6 linked regions of the Canis lupus familiaris genome follow. The protein of the gene in region 5 purifies or fractionates together with the protein of the main gene of each other region. This does not show direct contact. Links are inferred from orthologs where the notes say so. Each region holds a gene or a part of one and is shown on either strand. Other genes may lie near its edges.

Region 1 (4,179 bases), on a different chromosome or scaffold from region 5:
TATCTGAACGGAATGGGGGTTAAGTTTGGAAATAATTTCTCAGGGAGACCCGATTTGTACATTTGGCGAGGCACAAATGGCAGAGAGGGTAGGATCATCACAGGACATAAAATGGCCTTGGAGGCAGAAAGCATATTGGCTTGCTTAGAGTGAGGGCACCACAGTAAAGGCATTTCCCTATTGATGGAAAATCTCATTTAGCTGTTTTTTTTTTTTTTTTTAATCTATTTATGAGAGACACACACACAGAGACATAGGCAGAGGGAGAACCAGGCTCCCTGCAGGGACCCCAGGACCAGACCTGAGCCAAAGGCAGACTCAACCATGGAGCCGCCTGAGGGCCCCTAAGCTGGGGGTTCAGATGTGACGGGAAAGGCACCTGACCCTAGGCAATCCTTGACTGTGCTGGGTTAGTCAACAGACTCACTTCAAAGGATCTGAACAGTACTTAATCTGAAATGTGGAAAGACTACATGGGAGAATTAGCAGTCGCTGCTGCTGCATCAAGTGCCAGCCAGATTATACAACAGCAGTAGCCGCAGAATACGGTAAAAAAAAGAAAAAAGAAAAAAAAAGAAAAAAGAAATCAGACAGAAATGAAAAGATGAGCTAGGCTAAATAATTGCATGGGCCTTTCTGCCCTGTGCCCAAATTGTGGGGCTTTGTAACTCTCCAAACATTCCAAAAGGACAAGGGACAACGAGGAAAAGAATTAAGGTAGAAAAAGAAGAGAACAGAGAACAGTAGGCCCCAGGCGAGAAAATACCAAGCACACTTAATGGACTCAAAAACCGGCAGGCTGGGCTTCAGTGGCAATTACAAGCCGCAAAGGCCCAAAGCTCATACACATTCCTTTTACATGAACCACCGGGCTGCAGTCATAGCTTATAAGCTGTTAAAAAGTCCTAAAGCAAGCAGAATGAACACCCATCTCCTGCCCCCGAAATGCCAGGGGGTTCCCGGTCCCCAAAGGCGTAGAGGGAAGGCCCGCGCTTTGCTTCAGCCGGCGCCAGCCCCAGCCCCAGCCCCAGCCCATCGAACACATGAATGACCTTTCCCTGCAACACGCTGGGGCTCTGGGGCTCACCCCAGAGAACCCCCAACCGTGTGACCCTTGTGACCTCATCTCACCGGGCGCCCGCTCCCGAGCGGATACCGACCCCGCAGGCGAGCTGCACTGTGGCGGTCGGAGGTGCGCCGCGTCCTCCGAGCTCCTGCAGGGCGGACAGCGGCGGCGACGAGGCGCGGCGCCGAGGCTCCCCCACCGGGCCCAGCCGCTCAGCCCCGCGCAGGACCAGCGCGCAGCTGCAGCTCCCCCAGGCCCCCCGCCCCCGCCCCACGTCGTCCGCGCAGGCGCACCACGTCCGGCGCCGCGAGGCCGAAGCCGGAAGTGTCCCTCGGCGCCCCGGATGCGCCGGGCGGCTGTGGTTGCCAGGGCGACGGGCGCTCCCCGGGGCGGCTGGTCCTCGCGCCTGGAGAACTATTAGTCCAGGTTTCCTTTGGCGGGCCCGGACGGTTGGGCTCGTCCTCTCGGAGTTCCCAGAATGTTCTTTTACCTGAGCAAGAAAGTGAGTTTTCCCCGCGGGGGCCCTCGCTTCCCCTTGGCTCTGGCGACCCGCGGGCGACTCCCGCACCCTGCGGGCGGGATCTGGCGTCCTGATGCCGGCTTCGCCTTTTCCCGCCTTCCACCCTCCTGCGTCGTCCAGCCTCGGACGGTCCCGACCCCGGATCGTTGTCGGCGGAGCCCTCAGCCCTCCGGCCCCGCTCTCCCATCCCTGCCCCCGCCAGCCCTGCAGGTCGCTGCGTGGCTCTCTCTCTCTTCCTCCACCTATTGTGTTGTCCAGGTGACGTAAAGTCTTCGGAGTCTCATCCGGAGAGAAAAGTAATTATAAGAGGGTAGCCCAGGTGTTGGCGTGTGGAAAGGGAATATGGACCGATGGTCTGGGTTTATACCTCCTCCTTCCCTTCTTTCCCGTAAAAAATTCATCAGGTGCCCCCCCCCCCCATGTTCCTCCGCAATCAATGCCCTAACTCTGTGCACTTCCCTCTCTCTTTCCCAAATGGTAGGGCGCCAGGCAGGGCCGAGGGATCGTGCCATGGCCCTTTTCAGAACAGCTTACGCTTTTTTTTCTTCTGGGGGGCAGTGGAGGGTGGGGTGGGGGTGGGGCGGTGGATTTTCTTCAGCCTTCACCTGTAACTCGCTAACCAGCTCCTTCGCGGAAAGCTGTGCAAGTGGCTGTGGTTGCTTTTCAGATTGCCATTCCCAATAACGTGAAGCTGAAATGTGTGTCTTGGAACAAGGACCAAGGATTCATAGCATGTGGTGGTGAAGACGGATTACTGAAAGTTTTGAAATTAGAGACCCAGACAGGTAAATGAATGCAAGCCCAAGTGTTTGAACCTGGTGGAAAATTGGCTAGTTATCATTTGTTCAGTGAGATTTGCTCACGGAGTTTGTCACTATGCGATTTTAATTCTTTTGAAACGAGAAAAAAAAACAAAGCTCCCAAACGTTTAGTGGTGTTTTGGCAGTAAGTTAGTTCAGAGAAAGTAAAATGTAAAAATCAGATGGCTTTTTCTGAAGTTACTGATGGAAAAGAATGAAGAATGAGAACTAAATCACTATGTTGCCTTTTGCTCTGTCTGTTTACTGTGCCCTATTATTTGGAGTCTTAATAAAAATGATGTGAATTCGCATTTTGGTAAGGTCACAGAATCTCACATTTTGTCAGATTATTTGCAGGCCTGGATCATCCTTTCTGGTTCTCAGGTGTGTTAATAATTATTCACCTAGTTCCCAAGAACAGAAAACGAGACTTCTAAAAGTATTTTTTATCAATACATTTCTTGTGATTGCAGCTTGATTTCTCTTTTTTTTAGTTCTTTGGAATCATAGCAAACAGTTTCACATTTCCTTTAGCATCTGTAGTGTTGCTCTAGAATGGAGAGCTAAACAATCCTCCATCTACGTTGGAGATCTAGATGAGATTGGAGTGGGGATCTCAGCTCTGCCATGCTGAATGACTTTCAGAAAGTTGGTGAATGTCTTTGGGTTTAAGTGCACTCTTCTGTAAGATAAAGGGCCTAACTAAATTCCATTTTGGATTCAAAAGCTCTACACTGCAGCCCCAGAGCCTTTGCACTTGCTATTTTTGAGCCTGGACTACCCTCCCTTTCTCCATCTTTTCCCCATCTTTTCCCCACCTCACTTGGCTATTTCCAATTTATTCATCAGTCTCAGTTTATTTATTTTTAAATTTTTTTAAAATTTTTATTTATTTATGATAGTCACAGAGAGAAAGAGAGAGGCAGAGACACAGGCAGAGGGAGAAGCAGGCTCCATGCACCGGGAGCCTGATGTGGGATTCGATCCCGGGTCTCCAGGATCGCGCCCTGGGCCAAAGGCAGGCGCCAAACCGCTGCGCCACCCAGGGATCCCTCAGTCTCAGTTTAAACATAATTTCTTTAGAAAGTCTTCCCTAGTTCTCCCTCCCTCTAATCTAAATTAATCTCCCTCTGTTACTATCTCTTTATTATGCCTTTACTTCCTCAATTTTTAATTTTACATATATGCATATATATGCATATATATTTATGGGAGGAGATGAATGTGTGTTAAATATCTATTCCCTCAGTAGACTGCAAACTCTCTGAAGGGAGAGGCCTTAATATTTTGTGTATCATTTTATATTCAGAAGCCTCCACAGTGCATGGTACAATGTAGACATTCAGTGAATGAACTAATGAATAAAAGATTCTGCAAAATATAGTAAAAACCAATTTCCAAAGTCTTTGCTTTCTGATCCCTCTTATGCTTTAGAATTTTCAGTCTATATGTCATAAATATTTCTATTTGTGATCTTTTAGGAAAGAATAAGTAGCAATAATAATTACTAATATATTTAACATACTGGGTAAACAATGCTTTTTTAAAAATATATTTTGCTTTATATTGTCAGAATAATATCTTTATAAGGGGGCACATATTATTGTCCATGTTTCTACCATGAGAAATATAGATCAGAATGAGGCATACTTAAAAAAAACTTTCTAATATCATCCAGGAATAGAAACTCCTTTCAAAATAAGCAAGAAATGTCAAGTCTTATAATTAATAAGTCTTATTTAATATATTTGCCATACTATATCTTTTTTTCTAGATGATGCAAAATTGAGGGG
Region 2 (4,159 bases), on a different chromosome or scaffold from region 5:
GTAGACTTCCCTTGAAGAGTGGCAAAATATCCCACTCCAAAATAAGCTACTTTGACATAAGGATTATTTTGAGCTAACGGTACCTAAAAAATAGCAGATGCAAAAGACTAATCTTCTTTTCTTCCTGAAAACGGGGATTAAAAACTCCCATGTGAAAGATACCCTCCCTGTACCATAAGAAATGGCATTCTTACCATCAAGGAGACGCTGAAATTGAAGAGTCTATACAAACGGAACTTATTGACATAATTATTTTTTTTTCTCCTCACCATAGTTTATAGTTGCTTTCCCACAGTCGCGTCTCTTTGTTCAGCCAAATATAAAAGCATGCATGCACGCAGGTGTCATTTCTTTGGGTCTTTTCCTTAGGAAAAGGAACACGTATTTGTAGGCTTTTCTTCCTTAATCTGTCTTAGGTTAGTCTAATTCTCAGGCCGAGCTGAAAAACCCTAAGAGGGTAAAATTTTGTCTCCCTTACATTCCCTAAAGCTAGAAAGTCCCATTCACTCCTTTAAATAGTGGATGGCCAATTTCTGAATTTCTACTTCTCTAACCTTTTTCTCTTTCACTCAATCCCCTAGTAATGATATTTTCATTTTAATGGGCAGGTCTTAAAAATAATAATAATAATAATGGGCAGGTCTTGCACCTGAAACTAAACTAACTAAACAAAACCCGACGCCAAGGGAACAGTATCCTCCTTAAGAACGGTAACATCCATCATTAGTTCCTTGAAACCATTTTCTTGAAGCAAATACGATTCCTACCTAATGCTGATAAGAAAAAAGGGTGGGCACTTGGGCAAAAGAAGTACTTTCATAACGAACGAAGCACAAATCTATGGCAGGGCATAATATTTGGGGAAAAGCTGCCAGGTCCGAAGTCTAAACAGAGAAGCAATCAGTGCTCATTTTTCTTGCCCAATTTAGTTGGCCTATTAACGCCTTGAAAAAGACTACTTCTCACATCCTGTGTCTTCTAGCCCAGAAGCCTGGGAAGGAAAGGAGAGAGAGAGATGACGCGCAGGCCCGCCCAAGTCCTCCCTGCGCGTACTCTGCACGAGTATCTGGCCCAAGAGCAAATCCCCGTTCTCGGTTCTTGCAACATTCAGGGCCTTTTCGTTGCCTGGAATCCGGGCGCCCCCGCCCGCCGCCATCGACAACTTCGGCACCGGGAGCAGAAGTTGACGCAGGACGTCCTAAGGGCGTCCCCGGCCTCGTCCAATCAGAGCCCAAGAAGGAAGGGAGGGTGGGCCGGAGCTCCTGACGCACAACCATTTGGGGCCCGCCTCCGCGCGTGTCACGTGACTCCAGTCCACGCCTCCCGTCCGCCCCTGCGGAGGCCCCACGAGGCTCCGCCCCCCCGGGTAGAGCTCCATGATTGGTCACTGCTCGCGCGGTCTCCTGGGTGACGGGAACGCGTTAGCCCTCCTGGAGCTGACTCTCCGCGCCTGCGCACTTTCCGGATCGCGCGGCCGCTCTAGCCTTGAGATGAAGGTAAATAACTTACAAACCCCGGGGCCGGCGCGGCGGGGAAACGCGACCACAGGCGCTGGGCCCGCTGAGCGTCACATTGAGGAGAGGGGGCCTGTGTCCCCCTCCCTCCTCCCGAGGGGGGCTAGGAATGGCGAAGAGAGCTGGGTGACCTGGGGCGGGGGGGGGGGGGCGAAGTTGAAGGAAGGAGGAGGGGAACGCGGAGAGGGGAGGCCTCATTTCTGGGACCGCGAACGGAGTTGAAGCGGGGCGGGCGGAGGGAACCCGGGCACGGCCCGAAAGGAGCAGACCGGGTCGGAAAAGACCCCGAACTACCCACGGCGGGGAGACCGGTATGCTGGGAAGCTCGGCCCCCGCAAGCAGCTGAACCCCTGGCAAGCCGCGCAACCGCTCAGCGTTTAAAAAGAGTGAAGAGCTTCCGAAAGAAGAATGTCAGAGTGTATCGCCGGTGACTAATGTACAAATCACGCAGTGGCTCGTGGATGTAATTCGCGGGGAAATCTGCGCCTGCACACGCGGGTCCTGCTGGAGAGCATCATCCTCTGCACGCACAGTTCCTGCGCTTGGGCTTCGGGCGAACCCCATCCCCGGCCCCTGGGCTACAGCGCCCTCGCCCCCCTGCTTTACCACTGCCTTAGCCCTCCGCCCCGATCTGGCAAAGAAATGGATAGTTCAATTTTAAATTGAAGATTCCTTGTGGCTCTTAGCGTGGAAATTGGAATTGACAGGCTGGTAATCGATCATAACTTCACATTTCTAAAGCCTTTCACGATTTCTGAAGTTGTCAGCACGGAGGAGGCATTCCTCTTGGTTCGCAACTGAAAATTTTGTGCTTGAGGCAACTTAAGCGACTTGTTTTAAGCCCTACAGCTGATCATAAGTTAAAAAGTACAATTCAGACCTTGGTTTTCTGGTGTTGAAGCTAGCGCTTTTTCAGTCTACTGTATATGGAGCACTATACTGTATATGAAGAAAACTAAGATGTACGATCACAGCCAGAAGAGGTCTACCCGGAAGCTAGTCAAATTGAAGTTTAAGGATCCCTCACTTGCAGGAAGGGGTTCCAGGGTCACTTGGTCACAAAGGTCACACCTTTTTTTCCCAAGGTGTTTTCAAGCTCCACGAAACGTGGATGGACTTGTAATTATAATACACTTCTGTTTCCAATAGAGGTGGATTTCATCTCCTTAACATACCAAACGACTAATGATTGGTATTTAATTTTAAAATTATATATATACATTTATTTATATTTTTTAAGACAGAGAGTGAGAACATGGGTGCAAAGGGAGAGGAGGAAAGAATCTCAAGCACTTTCCCAGCCGAGTGCAGGGCTCAATTTCAGGACCCTCAGACCATGATCTGAGCAGAAATCAGGAGCCTGACACCTTGGTATTTAATTTTAAGCATTGAATGAGTTTTGTATGGCCACTCTGATTGTCAAGCCACCTGTAGTAGTATGTGAACTTCATATGCCTAGCTGTGGTCTATGATTTAACCTAATTGTTTATAATTTAACCTAATATTAAAATTAAATTCTCTTATTCAAGCTCTGTATTCGTAATTGTTTTGGATCAGTATTGTTTGATATAAATGTACTGTGAGCGAATGTAATTTAAAATTTTTAGTGGCCATCTTAAAATGTTTTAAAACCAACAGGGATGCATAGGTGGCTCAGGGCAGATCCCAGGATCTTGGGCTTGAGTCCCCCATCAGGCTCCTCCTGGCAGGGAGCCTGCTTCTCCTGCCTATTTCTTGCCTGTCTCTCATGAATAAATACATAAAATCTTTAAAAATAAATAAATAAAATAAACAGGTAAGATTAATTTAAATAATATATTTTATTTTATCCAGTATATTAAAAATATTATCTCAATATGTAATCAACAAAAAATTATCAATGAGATAGTTTACATTTTTCATAGTCCTTGAAATGGGTATCTATTCTATATTTACAACACTTCTAATTTGGACTACCTACATTTCAAGCCCTCAATAAAATCAAGTCCACCTGTGTTTTGTGGCTTTTATATTGGGTACCCCAGTTCTTGACTGTATGAGTGAAAAGAAAGGCTTTTGAGTTGACCATCAGTCAACCACCACCCAGTAGTCAAAGTGAGCACTTAATGATTAAGTAAATATAACTAGTGGGTAAAGGTAGAAAATAATTTTGAATGAAGGACAGTTTGTATTTTTATCATGGTTAAGTTTTTTTTTTTTTTTTTTGAGATTTTATTTGTTTATTCATGAGAGACACACACAGAGAGGCAGAGACACAGGTAGATGGAAAGGGAGAAGTAGGCTCCACACAGGAAGCCCGATGTGGGACTTCATCCCAGGACCCCAGGATCATGCCCTGAACCAAAGGCAGATGCTCAACCGCTGAGCCACCCAGGTGTCCCTCAAAAACATTTTAAACCAAAACTTTATAATAAATGCTTGCCTATGTGTTGAGGTCCATACTTTAACAACCAGATTGTAGAAGTTCGTTGGTTGGTTGGTTGATCTGATTATTTTGTCTGTTACATTGTTGACTTTTTCTGGATAAGCTCTAACAGTAAGCCTTTAACATCTGAATCTTACTGTTTTCATGATCATGTTTGATATCTTTGACCAACCCTTAATTGTATGTTTTGAAAATATAAAAATATTTATCTTTTTAGCGT
Region 3 (3,500 bases), on a different chromosome or scaffold from region 5:
ACAGGGAGCCTACTTCTCCCTCTGCCTGTGTCCCTGCATCTCTGTGTCTCTCATGAATAAATAAATAAAATCTTTTTTTTTTTAAAAAGGGGTCCAATTCTTGGTTTTGGCTCAGGTCAGGATCTCAGGGTAGTGAGATCAAGCCTTGCATTGGGCTCCACGCTCAGTGGAGAGGCTGGTGGGGATTCCCTCTCCCTCTCCCTCATCCCCTCCTGCTCATTCTCCCCTCCCCAGTACATAAATAAATCTTAAAGAAAAAAAAAAAAAGAAAAAAGGAAAAAGATGTGTTGAAGTCCTAACCTGGTGCCAGTGACCTGACCCTACTCGGAAAGAGTCTCTGTAGGGGATCAGGTTAAGAAGAGATCATTAGGATGGGCCCAAACCCGATGGCTCGCGTCCTTATCAGGAGAGGAAAGGGAGAGGGACACACAGGGGAGACACATGGGACCACAGAGGCCATGGGGTGATGCAGGTACCAGCTGAGGACTTCTGAGGAGAGCCGGCTGCCACAAGAATCCAGGACAAGGCCTGGCACCCGTCCTCCCCAAGGGCCTTCAGAGACCGCGTGGCCCTGACTTACTTCAGACTTCTGGCTTCCAGAATGGCAAGGCCATACTTGTGTCTTAAGCTACCCGCCTTGTGGTAATTTGTTACGGCAGCCACAGGATGCCAGGAGTTTCCAATGGCCAGTGTGGCCAACAGGACTGGACCAGGGTGCACAGACAGCACAGAGGGGCTGTTTCTGGTTAGGGGCGGGGACTGATCGTGGAATCTATTTTACGTCCCTAAATATGGCCCCAAGGCTAAGGAGCAGGGCTGAAACAATTATCTACATCACAGCACTCTTTTTTTTTTTTTTTTTTATAGGACTCATAATACTGAGACTCTACCTCAGGAAGCAGTGATACACATAACACACACATGCACCAAGTACCACACATGCACCACACGTACCACATTCACACCACACGTATACACGTATACCACGTATTACATACCATACACACCACATATATATATACCACATACCACACATGCAGACACACCACACTCAGTCCACATATATACACACCACACGCCACATATGCAACACACACTATATACCACACATGCACCACACACACCACATACCTACACATGTACCACATAACATACACACCTCATACCACACATGCACCACATACCACGTACTACATACACCATACATACAGACCACACACACGTATGCAATATACACATACACCACATGCGGACACACATGATATATACCACACACATCACATACCCCTTAGTGTACACACATATAACACACAGCACATACACCACATACCATACATATGACATGTCACACACATCACAGCCCCCGCATAGACACCATATACAACAGGATGCACCCATCACATACTACAAATTGTAGCATACATAAACACCACACACATCACATACCCATCACACGACACACATACCACATGCATACACACTACATACCACACACATACCACACATTTCCCTCACATGACATACAGAACATATACCACTCACACCACACATACATCAAGTACCATAGACACCACACAACATGCACATACCACATTACACCACATACCACACATGAAACACACACCCCATCTACTCACACATACAAGCACCACATACCACATACTATACACACTACACCTATCATATACCACACACAACACATGTATGTCATACACCAGATGCCACACATGGCACACACACACAACAAATACACATGAAAGACATACCATATGCCACACAACCACATACCACATGTATACCACACAGTCACATACCAGACACATGACACAACATATACACACCAAAATCATGTGACAGACACATCACATACAAACAAACCACATGTACCACATGCTACATACACACCACACACATATACATCACACAACACACGAACACCACATACGTACATACTATACCACATGTGACACATACCACTGTCCACACCACACATGTACATACCACATACCCACCACATACGTACTCACCACATACCCATTATATACATACTTACCATATGACACACATACCACGCACACCACATACCCCCACATATGCATACTACATACCACACACATCACATATCACACACGTCCCCCACACCACACATATACACACCACACATATACACACCACCACACCATATACCACACACATACCACATATCATACCTGACACACACATCATATTACCACATATACTACCCGACACATACCACATCCCACATACATGGCACATACTACCTACCACAGACACCACATAACACAGACCATATGCACATATATCACACACATACACACCACATAACACACGTATGATACATAACACATACACCACAAATACCACATACAACACACAGGACACATACACAGCACTACATACATCACATACCCCTCACTCTATACACATTACATACCACAAGCTCCACATACCACACACGTACCCTACCACACATGACACACACCACACATATACCACATACTACACACCACACACAGGCACACACATACAATATATCCTCTCCATGGCACACATGACATATACATCACACACATGCATGGATGTACCCCACACACAAGGCACACACAACACGCACACAACCCATACTGCAATACTCTATACTCATGTACATACTCCCCACATGACACACACCACACAATGCACATGCACACACGGGAGAACAAAATGAACATAAGAGCCAGAAGCCCCAGAAGTCAGAAACATGGCTTCCTAGGACTCACTTGTTCCAGATATATATCCACGCTGCCTCCTGCAATCCTGCTGACGGAGGCAACCGCCAGGAATGGATGAACAGGGTGCCAATGGATGTGGGAAGGAGACTCGACAGAGTCTGGGGCTTCTATTGGGTGGTCAAAGTAGAGGGCCATGATGAAACTCGGATCTAGTCAGGGCTGAAACCTGCAGGGAAGAAAACAGCTAAGTCCTGTTGCTTTTGAACAATAAGAAATGACTGTACATAGAATTAGGAAAGAGAAGCATCACAAACCTACCATCATAACACACTGCAACTTACAAATGCCCCTTAAGACCATGTGGAAGAGATCTCTAACAGGGTTAAAAATGTATAATTAGAATCAAGAAATTTGACCTGAATGATGCAGGGTGTGATGGAAAAGAATAAAACACTGCCATCAAAATAGTAAGAAAAAGTCTAGTCACCTAGTCCACTAGGTTTACCTAGTGCATAAACCTTGATTATTCATTCCAGTCATAATAAAGACAATTTGCATTTCTATAGCTGACCTTCAAGCAAAAATTTCACACCAAGCAGAAGCAAAACTGATTCACAGAAATACATAGGAAAAGCTAGGATTCAATTCGTGAAAACCAAAGCCTATCTACTACCTCTGGCTCTCAGATGGTAGAAGGCAACAGGGTTCCTTTGTTAGAAAATCAAGAAAACAAAGCCGTGGCACTTGTAGGAAAGCTGAACTTGATTA
Region 4 (3,500 bases), on a different chromosome or scaffold from region 5:
GTTTGTGCTCAATATTAAGTATGTTGTTGAAATGGGAAAGTGTTTTGAAGTAGAGAACACCATGAGATTTTTATACCAAAGTTATAACATGATCATATTGAAAATGGTCTCTTTCTTTTTCTTTTTTTTTTTTTGAGAATGGTCTTTTTCTTAATGTGCTCTTCTTCTTTTAAAAGTACCTTGACTCTTTAAACAGTGGTGATTAGTTCCTCCTTAGTGTCTGTAATGTTCACTCTATTTTTGGTTTTCTGAAACTAGGAAACTAAGAAATTTCAGGGTAAAAATTATTAATATTCAAAACATCGGTATGCCATTTTGGGAGATTGGTTAAGATCAAATTAAAGATTGTTACTGGAAAAAAAAAGATTAAAAAAAAAAGATTGTTACTGGAAAAATTTAAAAAGTGATTATGTATAGATTTCCTGTGGGCTTTTTGGGACTGGTACCTTTTCCTTTATTGATTGGTAAAACTGATTTGTAGAACTATTTTGTACACACTGTTATTAGTGTGTATTCTAGATCTTAGCCATAGAAATTTAATTCTGGTAGGTTTTTTTCTCTTATTTTATTCAATATTGTACTAGAGGTTCTAAATATTACAATAGACAAAAACAAAAGGAATCTATTAGAAAGGCAGCTATAAAGCTGTTATTTGCAATAGACCAGATTAAGTAGAAATTTTGATGGAATGTTAAAAAAAGCCTACCAAAATTAAGTGATTAGAGCAAAGGTATAGGGTACGTGATCGTTTTTTCATATTTCAGGGAAGACTTATGTGAATTAATAACTGACACTTCCAGACATTAATTAAGTACTTAGTAAATGAAGATGATTATTACCAGTATTTGAATAATTGGTGTTGTAGTCTTTTGACCCAAATCAACTTAACATACTAAGTTTTTAAGTATCACATGACAAATATTTTTTTGAAAGAAAATATTAAATGATCTGAAGAGTAAATTATAGTTTTATTTTTAGAAACAGGAGAAAAGAGGCTGGATTTAAGAGCTCTAAGAGCAGGTACAACTCTTGATCTCCTTAATTTCCTTGGGAGAGAGTAGTCACTAGCTCTAAAAAAACTAAATACCTATATATTTCATTTTCCTTGCAAAAAAACTTTAAAGATTGCTAATTCATTACTTTAGAAAATGAGATTTTTGAATGACTTAAAGGTGGATTAGATCTAATTCTTTTCTCTCTTATGTAGGTCCATATACTTTTGTTCAGCAACATCTCATGATTGGCACAGATCCACGAACAATTCTTAAAGATTTACTACCAGAAACAATTCCTCCACCTGAATTGGATGATATGACACTGTGGCAGATTGTTATTAATATCCTTTCAGAACCACCAAAAAGGAAGAAAAGAAAAGATATTAATACAATTGAAGATGCTGTGAAATTACTGCAAGAGTGCAAAAAAATAATAGTTCTAACTGGAGCTGGGGTATGTAAGATGTAATAAAACACTAGTAAAAGGGTGAGGTGGTGTGTGATTTTTTTCTTAGCCTTTTCCAAGTCAGAAACATTTTTTGGTTAGAAGAATTTATCCTAACATGATAATGGGAATTTGCATTTGGAAACCATGAAAAGTGCTGCAGCAGTTGTTAAATTGGTTCATTTCTTTAAAAACTTCTCCAATAAACTTAGGAAGTATTTGTTTGTTAACAGTACATGGAGTTAGGAAAGGGTTTTTTACTTATAGTATTCTGCTACAGCTCCTAAAGGAGATGCAGGTAATTCGGTTTGCATAAACTGGATCAGGGTCTGCTGGAAAAATTGGGTCTTTGTTCCATCTTTCTGGGGGAAACCAGGAACCTAATTAGTGTTCACAAGTAAATAACTTAAGTTGGGAAGGCAACAGGTTCCTGCCTCCTCTCCATTTTTTTTTTTTTTTTAAATTTTATTTATTTACTCATGAGAGACACAGGCAGAGGGAGAAGCAGGCTCCATGCAGGGAGCCCGACGTGGGACTCGATCCCAGGTCTCCAGCATCCCACCCTGGGCTGAAGGCAGGCGCTAAATCGCTGAGCCACCCGGGCTGCCCCCCCCCCTTATTTTATTTTATTTTATTTTATTTTATTTTATTTTATTTTATTTTATTTTATTTTATTTTTTATTATATTTTATATTTTATATTTTATTTTATTGTTTATTTTTTAAAGGTTTTATTTATTTATTCATGAGAGACCCAGAGAAGAGAGAGAGAGAGAGGCAGAGACACAGGCAGAGGGAGAAGCAGGCTCCATGCAGGGAGCCTGATGTGGGACTCGATCCTGGGTCTCTCCAGGATCAGGCCCTGGGCTGAAGGTAGCGCTAAACCTCTGAGCTGCCAGGGCTGCTCACCCCCCCCCCCCCCCATTTTAATTTAAGGTGATGTGAATATGGTGGCTTGATGTGTGGGCATTGGCCTCACTTTGGGTTTGTACTTAGCTACCTAGGGCCATTGTGTGTTGAATACAGAATATGTTACGTGTTAGTGACCTAGGGTGATTGTTGGAGTAAAATTCAGTCCTGCATTTTGCCATTTTGAGTTAAGGCAGAGTGCTATTTAATCATAAATGATTGTCAAGAATAGTTCTGCCTTGTTCACAGATGTGATTTAGTCAAATTAGTTTTATCTGAGGTCAGAGTGGAGTCAACTGATAAAATTGTGAAACAATAAGTTAGTTGACTTCTGAAATTCCTATTTGAAATGTCAGTTAAGAATTAAAATACTAAAAAAAAAGAAAATTAAAATACTGGGGACGTCTGGGTGGCTCAGCGTTCCAGCATCTACCTTTGGCTCACGGCTCCTGGAGTTTGGGGATCGGGTCCCACATTGGGCTCCCTGCATGGAGCCTCCTGCTTCTCCCTCTGCCTGAGTCTCTGCCTCTCTGTGTCTCTCATGAATAAATAAATAGAATATTAAAAAAATTATTGTACAATAGAGTTTTTAAAGAAAATACAGGAATTTAATATTCTTGAAGTAGTAGAACCCTGACCAGATGACATTTTTGTTTTTGCAAATATGTGACTGATAGAGAATCTTGCCTGCTTTGTAGTTAAAATAATTTGAAATGATTTATTTACTCTGTTCTCAAATTGCTGTTGCTTTTTTTTTTAATTTTTTTTATTTATGATAGTCACAGAGAGAGAGAGGCAGAGACACAGGCAGAGGGAGAAGCAGGCTCCATGCACCGGGAGCCCGATGTGGGATTCCAGGATCGCGCCCTGGGCCAAAGGCAGGCGCCAAACCGCTGCGCCACCCAGGGATCCCTCAAATTGCAGTTGCTTTCATTCATTGATTAAATGCTTAAAGGTTTAAAATTAGCCAGAAAAAAAATTAGCCTGACTTAAAATTCCTTACCCCATTATGATTGGAAAATATGGTGGATTTCATTATACTGCTTTTTGGTGTTTGTTATATTTGAATTTGAAATTAAAGTAGGGAAAAAAAAAATAAATTGGAGTAGGGCAGTATTTTTGTTCCCTCAAGTTTTAAAGCAAAATATTTTT
Region 5 (3,500 bases):
TCTCAGATGGACCAGAGGGACAATATTAGCATCATTACTAGGTACCTTCGTAAATCTTCTGGGTCTTTGAGTTAAAATAAAAGCAACGGTTTGATCAGTGGAAGGTACCTTGCAGTATGTGTCCATCCTAAAACTGTTGTTTTCATTGCCAAATGAATTAGTCCAGAAGGGCCTATTTGAGGAACATACAGTCTTGATTGTTGCATCATGACAGAGTAAGCCATGATGCCAAGAGTAGTAGAGAGCACCCATTCTTCCAATAGATAGGACTCATTGGACCACATGAAGTGGTGAGCTGTGGACTTGGACAGGATCTGAACTTTGAGGGGCCTACTTTGTTTTCATGATCTCATTCTTTGGTTTCTAAAGTATAACATCAAGTACATTTTATTTGGTAACAGTCAGAACATGTTAATAAAATGAACACCAGTCCTGAGTTCCTCTATTGACAAATGTCCATGTGGATATTAAGGAAGAAGTGAAATGCTTTTTGGTTCTTAATTCTAATCATATACACCAGAACCACCCAGCCAAATAACAGATAATACTTTCCTCTTTTTTCCTTTCTTTTGGACCCTAGGCATTGATGGTCCAGCTGCCTTCTTGAAGCCAGATGCTCAAGATTTGGAAACCAAACTTCATGTTGTCTCAGTAGACTCTTCTGCTGTGGAAGAGGATACCGAAGGAAGTGTTGATGGAGAAGGCACTTTGGATACTGTGTCCAAGCCAGATCTCCAGGAGATTCTCCAAAAACATGGTGAGGATTGGTAATGATTGTAAGGCAGTTAATCATCTTAGCCATGTATAATCTTTTCTTTTCCTTTCTTTCATTGTCAGTTAACAATCTAGATGATTCAAAATTGCTTGAAATGTGGCTTATGGCTTTACAGAGGTGAGACAGATTAGGCATCTTTGACATCTGAGAATTGACCATTGTCAACTATGGTAGTATTTACTCTGTTGCCTGAGAAAAATAAGATAATTACATATAAATTATCAGCAACATTAGTTACTATATGTGGCTATTTCTTTTTGACATTTTTAGTTCCCACTCCCTTCTTTTGACAAAGTTGCCAGTCAACACCCCTACTTGGCCTCCATTTCACAGTTTATATTGATCTAGTGATAAGGGGAAAGATAAGTAGTGGCTGAACAGAAACACACATTATATCAAAATATACTTAAGCTAATACTTTTTTCACTAGAGCTTACTTTCTGCCAGTTGGAGTTATCATTTCCACAGATATTCCTATGTATTTTAGGGATCTCTTGTAGTTTTCTTTCCTTCTTAGAAAAATAATTTTGGGACACCTGAGTGGCTCAGTGGTTGAGCGTCTGCCTTTGGCTCAGGGTGTGATCCCTGGGTGCGGGGATCAATTCTCGCATCAGGCTTCCCGCAGGGAGCCTGCTTCTCCCTCTGTCTATGTCTCTGCCTCTCTCTCTGTGTCTCTCATGAATAAATAAGTAAAATATTTTTTAAAAAGAAAAATAATTTTATAGTGGGAAGGAATTAAGTGTTCCCTTTTCAGATGAGAAGACTGAAATCCAGTCATGAATAAGTATTTATTGGGTGCCTACTTTGTAATAGGCTGGCATTGTAGGTCCTGGGATGTGTGAATCGGGAGATTCTACCACAGAATGCAGAACAGATATACTTTCAAACAAATTCACTAGGTACTGAGGCTGTACTATATATTGGGGAGTTATAGGCACTTAGGCTACAGTGGGTTCCAGCCCTCCTGAAGTGTTTACTCTAATGGAAGAATCACATACTTAAATAGACGAGAGTGTCAAGAGAGGTACCTAATCTAGAGCTGAAGGTTTGGAAAGCTTTCCAGAGAAAGTGATATCCAAGCTAGAGCCTGATACAGGAGGAGGAGCTCACCAGTTCAGAATGGCTGGAGCACACAGTGTGAGGGGATGAGGTAAAAAGATGGATTAGAGAGGGGAGCCTGGAGGGATAAGTAGGCTCTGATTATATAGTCAAATATAGGCCATACTGGAAATTTGGACTTTACTTGAAGAGTAACAGGAACCTATGATTAAGATCTACAATGTAGCAGTTTGGTAGATTATGTCCCTTAAGTGGGTCCGATTTGTTTTTTCTACAAGTTTGGGAGAAATCTTTGATTTCCATCTTAAGACATATATTCACATAAGCTGAGTTCTTTGTATAAAAATGGCATTTGCAAACAGTACTAAGTGAAAATATCCACATGATTGTGAAGTTTTATGCCTTTTTGCTACAAAAGCACAGAAGGTTAACATTTTTTTCTGTTAACATAGAAAGCAAAAGAAAAAAAAAACAAAGAATTTTTTAAATAATAGCTTTATTATAGTTTAAAGTGGACAGTGGGTGTAGGAGGTGAAGATGGCAACAGAGTAGGAGGACCCTGGATTCACCTCGCCCTACGAGTACAACTACATAACTAGCAAATCATCCTGAATACCCTGTTGACCTGAAGACTGGCAGAACATACTCCACAACTAAAGGTAGAGAAGAGGCCGCATTGAAGAAGGCAGGAAGCATGGAGACGTGGTTTGGGAGAAAAGTGGATCAGGGCTGCTGTGGTAGGGAGGGAGGTGCAGTCATGGAGAAGGGCAAGAGACAGACTCACGCAGGGGAGTGCACATATAGTACTAGAGTCCCTATAGCAATTGGCTTGGAAAGTGAGAGGGGCTGGATTTCATGAGTTCTTGCGAGCATCGGGGCTTAAAGCTTGGTGTTCTGAAGGTCAGTGGGCTTTGCTCAAGGAGAGCTTGGAGGGCACCACGCAGTTCCTAGAGAAAAGGCAGGCAAACGACCTTTGCACATACAGCGTAGAAACGATCTGAAGAGTGCCCAGGGCACACAGTGGGAAGGTTAGTTGCTCATCTTGGAGCATTTCCCAGAGAGAGAGCATTCATGGAGACACCCCTCCAGGAACAAAGAAACTGGCAGGTGCCATTTCCCTCCCCTGCTCCTTAGCATAGGCACATAGCCACCTGTGAGAACCAGTGCAACACTGACACTCACTACCTAACTTGCTTACACCAAGCCCCACTCCACCCTTGGATCTGCTCACCCTTCCTAGTTATGCATGCCTCAGTCCCTGAAGTGGGTAGTCCCCTCTCCAAATCCCTCCCCCAGGCCAAACCCCTGCCCATGTTTTGTCTCCTGACCTGGAAGCGTGAGGCCCCAGTTCCATTGGCAGTGGTAACAGGTCTCATTTCACAAACAGACCAGAGCAGACCTAATTAAAACATGCCACATTCAGGCCAGGGACTAAACACTGCCAATAACAGGCAAAGAGAACCTCTGCAGATGACTCTCCTGAAGGATAAAGCAGACAGGACACAATTGCAGAGCACATGCAGCACATATTGGAGACATTCCTGGAAACACCAGGCCTTGAGAAACGGGACACTATACTGCAGGGCACTGTAACATATCTTCTTGATAAAGCCATTACCTTCAAGAACAGAAGACACAGCTGACTTTTCTAACACAGAGAAACAGG
Region 6 (4,218 bases), on a different chromosome or scaffold from region 5:
GGAAATCTACTACTTTCATTATTCTAAAAGAAAATACAACCTTCAAAACCCTACCAACAATTTCTAGTTCAATTTTCTACTATAAAAATTAAAAAGTTAAATTCCTTGTGGCACTAAGTTGAATTAAAACGTTAACAGAAGACAAACGTAGATAATCAAAATATAAACAGTGTAAACTAACCAAAACAATCCACTGGTGCAACAAATACTCGAACAACCAAGAAACCACCAAGCATTCTAATCAGTTACATAGTTTGTTTTTGCATATTTTAATCTTGACTTTTAGCATAATAAATTATCATATAGGTTGATTTCATGGACTGTTTAACTTTGTAACATTACATTAGTAATTCAAATGTTACCCTTTCTAAACCAAATCTGCAGTCCTAATCAACATTTTTTTTTTCATGAAAAGGAAGGGATATCTTTTAAAGATACATTCCATAGAAGTAGAAACATCTTAGTGCTTCAAAATATTTACAAAGAACCCTGATGATCCTGTGCATTTCCCTGAGGTGCCACCTGCACCCAGACTTCATCATCGGAAAAAGAACTTGAACTTCCTGACTCCGAGTCCAGCTCACTGAATCCATCTAAGTCCCATTCAGTACTAGACTCACTCCGTGCATCATCTTCCTCAGTGATAAAACTCTGTCCAGGTTCAAGGCAGGAAGGATAAACACGAGCACAGAGGCAAATAAAGCCAGAGTCAAACTGCAAAAGACCTAACATGGTACCTATATTAATCCACTGGTCTTCCCTAGTATCGTATTCATAAACAGTCACCCGGTTTTTTTTCCACTGAGGGGTGGTAGAAGTAATGAGGAGCAACTTTTGGCCATGATTGACAATCTGGTAGTTGTGGGTCTCTGAGTCCAAGGGGATATTACTAATCCGCCTCCATTCTCCCCTGGCTGGGTTGTAGACCTTCATGACCGGGATGTCGCAGATACAGTAGATCTCATCATTGAAGACACAGGCTTCCTGAAAGTCACTACGTTTAAGAGAAGCACAGTTCAGCCATGTATTGTGGCCCGGGTCATAGTAGAGCATGCGCTTACTGTTCACAGCATAAAGATAGTTCTGAACCACTATTAGTTCAAACGAATAGAAGGAATGGGGTACAGGAGCCACCAGTGCCCACTGGTTTCTCTGGACACTGTAGCACTCCACTTCCTTCAGTTTAACACCGGTAATGGGGTCTCGCCCACCCAAAATGTAGATGTAGCCATTGAGGTAGGCCACATCCATGCCCTCCCGGCACAGCAGGCGGTCGGCCAGCTGCTGCCAACTATTCTGGGCTGGCTTGTACACCCAGAGGTCCTTCCTGGGCTGCGCGGCCAGGTAGATGTCATGGTCTGGAGAGACGCAGACAGCTGAGGAAGTGACAGTCTTGGTGTGAGCCAAGCTGGTTAAAGGGGATGGCATGGTGTAAATGTCCCCTGAGTATGGGTCGTAGCACAGAAAGGGATCTCGGGGATGTCCAAAGAAGATCACCATCTCCTTGGCACACATACCCAGCCTCTGGGGTGGGTTTTCTGCTGTGGGCACAACACAGCTGCTGCTGCTATCTGGTTTGGGCACCAGAGCCTTGCACAGCTTGTCACCATAGCGCATCTGCAGGGCCCCCTCGATAAGGTCCAGACAGTACTTTTTCACAATGGGCTTGGTCAGCAGCCCCTCCAGGTAATCCTGATCCTCTTCTCTGAAGTGTGTCCAGCGGACACACTTGAAGACTTCCGCAGCGCTGGGTCCGCGCTCCTTGGGAGCCGCCTCCAGCCACTGCACGGCCACGTGACACACGGTCCGCTCGCTCTCGATGTCTAGACTATCCAGGCGCAGGATGGACAGCAGCTGGGCCAAGCTCAGATCCGCCAGGCTCTCCTCCCTTACTGAGCCCATCCGGCTGAGCTGCCTGAAATTGTGGGCTATGAAGGACTGGGCCTGGGATCGCAGCTTATGATGGTCGAAGGCGTCGGCGAACTTGAGGATGGCGGTGCAGTTGGCCAGGTCGAGGCGGCGGGCCAGGAAGGAGGCGCAGGCCTCCCGCACGTACTCGAGCTGCAGCATGTCGGAGGCCGCGTACAGGCGCTGCACGTTGGCCTCGCTCAGCGACACGCGGCCCGTGTAGCAGTAGTCGACCAGCACCTCGAAGGACTCGGCGTCCACGTCGTGCATGGTCACGTTCGCCTGGTGGCTCTCGTACATGCCGCCCGTGAACATGCTCTTGAAGTAGGGACACGCGGCCGCCAGCACGTTCCGGTTGCAGGGGAAGAGGCGGCCGGTGCCGGGCCCGCTGCCGGGCGTCACCACCTCGATGGTCACGTCGCACAGCAGCCGCGCGTCGTAGAAGGACTTGAGCTGCGCCAGGAGGGCTGCGGAGTGAGCCGCGTCCTTCAGCTCCTCCGGGCCCGTGAAGAAAGCCGAGACCGAGGGCTTGGAGATCCTCTTGGGCCGCCTGCCGCCGCGGGGACTGGCCAGGCGGCGGGGGCGCGGAGCCTCTTCCCGGGACTGCATGGTGGAGATGGCGGCGGGGTACGAGGGCGAGAACGGGTGCACGGACCGGGCGCGGGCTCCTCCTCGCCCTCTCCTCGCCTTCTCCCTGAAGAGACTGCAGGGGCCGCACTTACCCAACTCAGCCCCGCGCCGCGGTGCCGCCTCCCTTTATCGCGTAGCCAGCGCCTGACTCACCCGCTTCCAGTTCCGCGCCCTTTTCTCCGCCTCAGCTCGCCTTACAGAACCCGGCTGGACGGAACCGAGAGAGCCGCCACTGCCGCGCTGGCAATACCGGTAGGCGTCCAGCGGAACTACGGCTCCCAGGCTGCCTTTCGCGCCCCGAGGCATGCCGGGGCCCCTCCAGACTCCAGGGGATCGGCGGGCGGGCCGGAGCCGCTGTGCACGCTGGGAGTGGTAGTTCGAGGAATATCGCGAGGTTTCTCCGGGCGGGCGGACTTTTAGCTGACAGAATTCGAAAAAGCGTTAATCTGGGTTTGTTGGTTTTAGAGCTTTGGCTTTGATGTTCTTTTTTATTTAAAAAAAAAAAAAATCTCCGTTTTGGTATTGGTCTTCTCTCTGAGAACTTTCCCCTCTTTGTAAAGCGGGGGATACGAGTTTTCATAGGATTATGTGAGAGTGGGAGCGAGGTGGATTTGCGCAGGTCCCAGGATGCTTCAGCGAATACCTGCTGATTAATCACATGCTTGCAAGTGCCTGGAATATACAGATTCAGCCACTGGTGGCGTCTCCCAATGCGTTTTTAAAAATGTGCCCGCGTGCGAAGCCGTGAGCGATTTGTGTGAGGAATCTTAATTTTACTGTTGCTTCTTTTGAAGGGTTCTTCTGAAGGCTACCACCATCTTTTCAGAACTAAATGAGATCCACAGGTTCGTTAGGGTGTCGTGGACAAGGATGAGGTCCTGGCGAACAGCGTTGAGAGGTGGCCTCCGACGTGCGGCTCAGGCCTCCGACGTGCGGCTCAGGCCTCTGACATACAGCTCAGGCCTCTAACAGGCAGCTCAGGCACATGCATAGCTGGGCTGACCTCTCACCAAATCAATATTTACGCAGGGGGAGCAGGATTACTTTCATAAGCTTTTTTTTCTTTTTTTTTAAATTAAGATTTTTATTTACTTATTAGAGAGAGAATGCACAAGCAGGGGAGTGACAGGCAGAGGGGGAGGGAGATTACAGGCTCCCTGCTGATAGGGCCGGATCCCAGGACCCCGGGCAGGCGCCTAACCGGCTGAGCCACCCAGAAGCCCTTTCGTAACCTTTTAGCAGGAATGTTTTGGTCTAATACTGCTCGTTTCCCTTCCTCTCCACAAATCAGCCTAAGATTATGTAGTTATCTTTATCAAGGAGATAAAAACGGGAGTTGTAGATTAAAAGATTTAAACAAACAGACCTCAGAGCTCTGTATTCATGCATGCCCCAGTTTTTTTTTTTTTGTTTTTGTTTTTTTTTTTAAGATTTTATTTATTCATGAGACACACACACACAGAGAGAAGCAGGCTCCATGCAGGAAGCCCAATGTAGGACTCAATCCTGGGTCTCCAGGATCAGGCCCTGGGCCAAAGGCAGCGCTAAACTGCTGAGCCCCCTGGGTTATCCAGTATTTTTTTTTTAAGATTTTATTTATTTATTCATGATAGACATAGAGACACAGGCAGAGGGAGAAGCAGGCTCCATGCAGGGAGCCCGACGCGGGACTCGATCCTG

Evidence for each region.
Region 1: the proteins of TULP3 (region 5) and WDR35 purify together in Homo sapiens (affinity purification with mass spectrometry; 5 studies listed by BioGRID and IntAct, counting the BioPlex papers as one, with this or other methods). This does not show direct contact. The link is inferred for Canis lupus familiaris from reciprocal best matches to the Homo sapiens genes TULP3 and WDR35.
Region 2: the proteins of TULP3 (region 5) and WDR19 purify together in Homo sapiens (affinity purification with mass spectrometry; 5 studies listed by BioGRID and IntAct, counting the BioPlex papers as one, with this or other methods). This does not show direct contact. The link is inferred for Canis lupus familiaris from reciprocal best matches to the Homo sapiens genes TULP3 and WDR19.
Region 3: the proteins of TULP3 (region 5) and IFT140 purify together in Homo sapiens (affinity purification with mass spectrometry; 5 studies listed by BioGRID and IntAct, counting the BioPlex papers as one, with this or other methods). This does not show direct contact. The link is inferred for Canis lupus familiaris from reciprocal best matches to the Homo sapiens genes TULP3 and IFT140.
Region 4: the proteins of TULP3 (region 5) and SIRT1 purify together in Homo sapiens (affinity purification with mass spectrometry; 5 studies listed by BioGRID and IntAct, counting the BioPlex papers as one, with this or other methods). This does not show direct contact. The link is inferred for Canis lupus familiaris from reciprocal best matches to the Homo sapiens genes TULP3 and SIRT1.
Region 6: the proteins of TULP3 (region 5) and KBTBD7 purify together in Homo sapiens (affinity purification with mass spectrometry; 3 studies listed by BioGRID and IntAct, counting the BioPlex papers as one, with this or other methods). This does not show direct contact. The link is inferred for Canis lupus familiaris from reciprocal best matches to the Homo sapiens genes TULP3 and KBTBD7.

The regions. Positions count from the first base shown.
Region 1 is NC_049238.1:15,071,694-15,075,872, reverse strand, and holds the start of WDR35 (WD repeat-containing protein 35), read left to right. Parts: upstream 1-1,379; 5' UTR 1,380-1,544; coding exon 1,545-1,568; intron 1,569-2,253; coding exon 2,254-2,371; intron 2,372-4,160; coding exon 4,161-4,179. UniProt on the Homo sapiens protein: As a component of the IFT complex A (IFT-A), a complex required for retrograde ciliary transport and entry into cilia of G protein-coupled receptors (GPCRs), it is involved in ciliogenesis and ciliary protein trafficking.
Region 2 is NC_049224.1:73,797,448-73,801,606, reverse strand, and holds the start of WDR19 (WD repeat-containing protein 19), read left to right. Parts: upstream 1-1,359; 5' UTR 1,360-1,376; coding exon 1,377-1,496; intron 1,497-4,156; coding exon 4,157-4,159. UniProt on the Homo sapiens protein: As component of the IFT complex A (IFT-A), a complex required for retrograde ciliary transport and entry into cilia of G protein-coupled receptors (GPCRs), it is involved in cilia function and/or assembly.
Region 3 is NC_049227.1:39,705,970-39,709,469, reverse strand, and holds part of IFT140 (intraflagellar transport protein 140 homolog), read right to left. Parts: intron 2,959-3,500; 5' UTR 2,928-2,958; coding exon 2,781-2,927; intron 1-2,780. UniProt on the Homo sapiens protein: Component of the IFT complex A (IFT-A), a complex required for retrograde ciliary transport and entry into cilia of G protein-coupled receptors (GPCRs).
Region 4 is NC_049225.1:19,904,939-19,908,438, forward strand, and holds part of SIRT1 (NAD-dependent protein deacetylase sirtuin-1), read left to right. Parts: intron 1-1,207; coding exon 1,208-1,449; intron 1,450-3,500. UniProt on the Homo sapiens protein: NAD-dependent protein deacetylase that links transcriptional regulation directly to intracellular energetics and participates in the coordination of several separated cellular functions such as cell cycle, response to DNA damage, metabolism, apoptosis and autophagy.
Region 5 is NC_049248.1:4,204,786-4,208,285, forward strand, and holds part of TULP3 (tubby-related protein 3), read left to right. Parts: intron 1-580; coding exon 581-757; intron 758-3,500. UniProt on the Homo sapiens protein: Negative regulator of the Shh signaling transduction pathway: recruited to primary cilia via association with the IFT complex A (IFT-A) and is required for recruitment of G protein-coupled receptor GPR161 to cilia, a promoter of PKA-dependent basal repression machinery in Shh signaling.
Region 6 is NC_049243.1:9,372,580-9,376,797, reverse strand, and holds the start of KBTBD7 (kelch repeat and BTB domain-containing protein 7), read right to left. Parts: upstream 2,801-4,218; 5' UTR 2,518-2,800; coding exon 478-2,517; 3' UTR 1-477. UniProt on the Homo sapiens protein: As part of the CUL3(KBTBD6/7) E3 ubiquitin ligase complex functions as a substrate adapter for the RAC1 guanine exchange factor (GEF) TIAM1, mediating its 'Lys-48' ubiquitination and proteasomal degradation.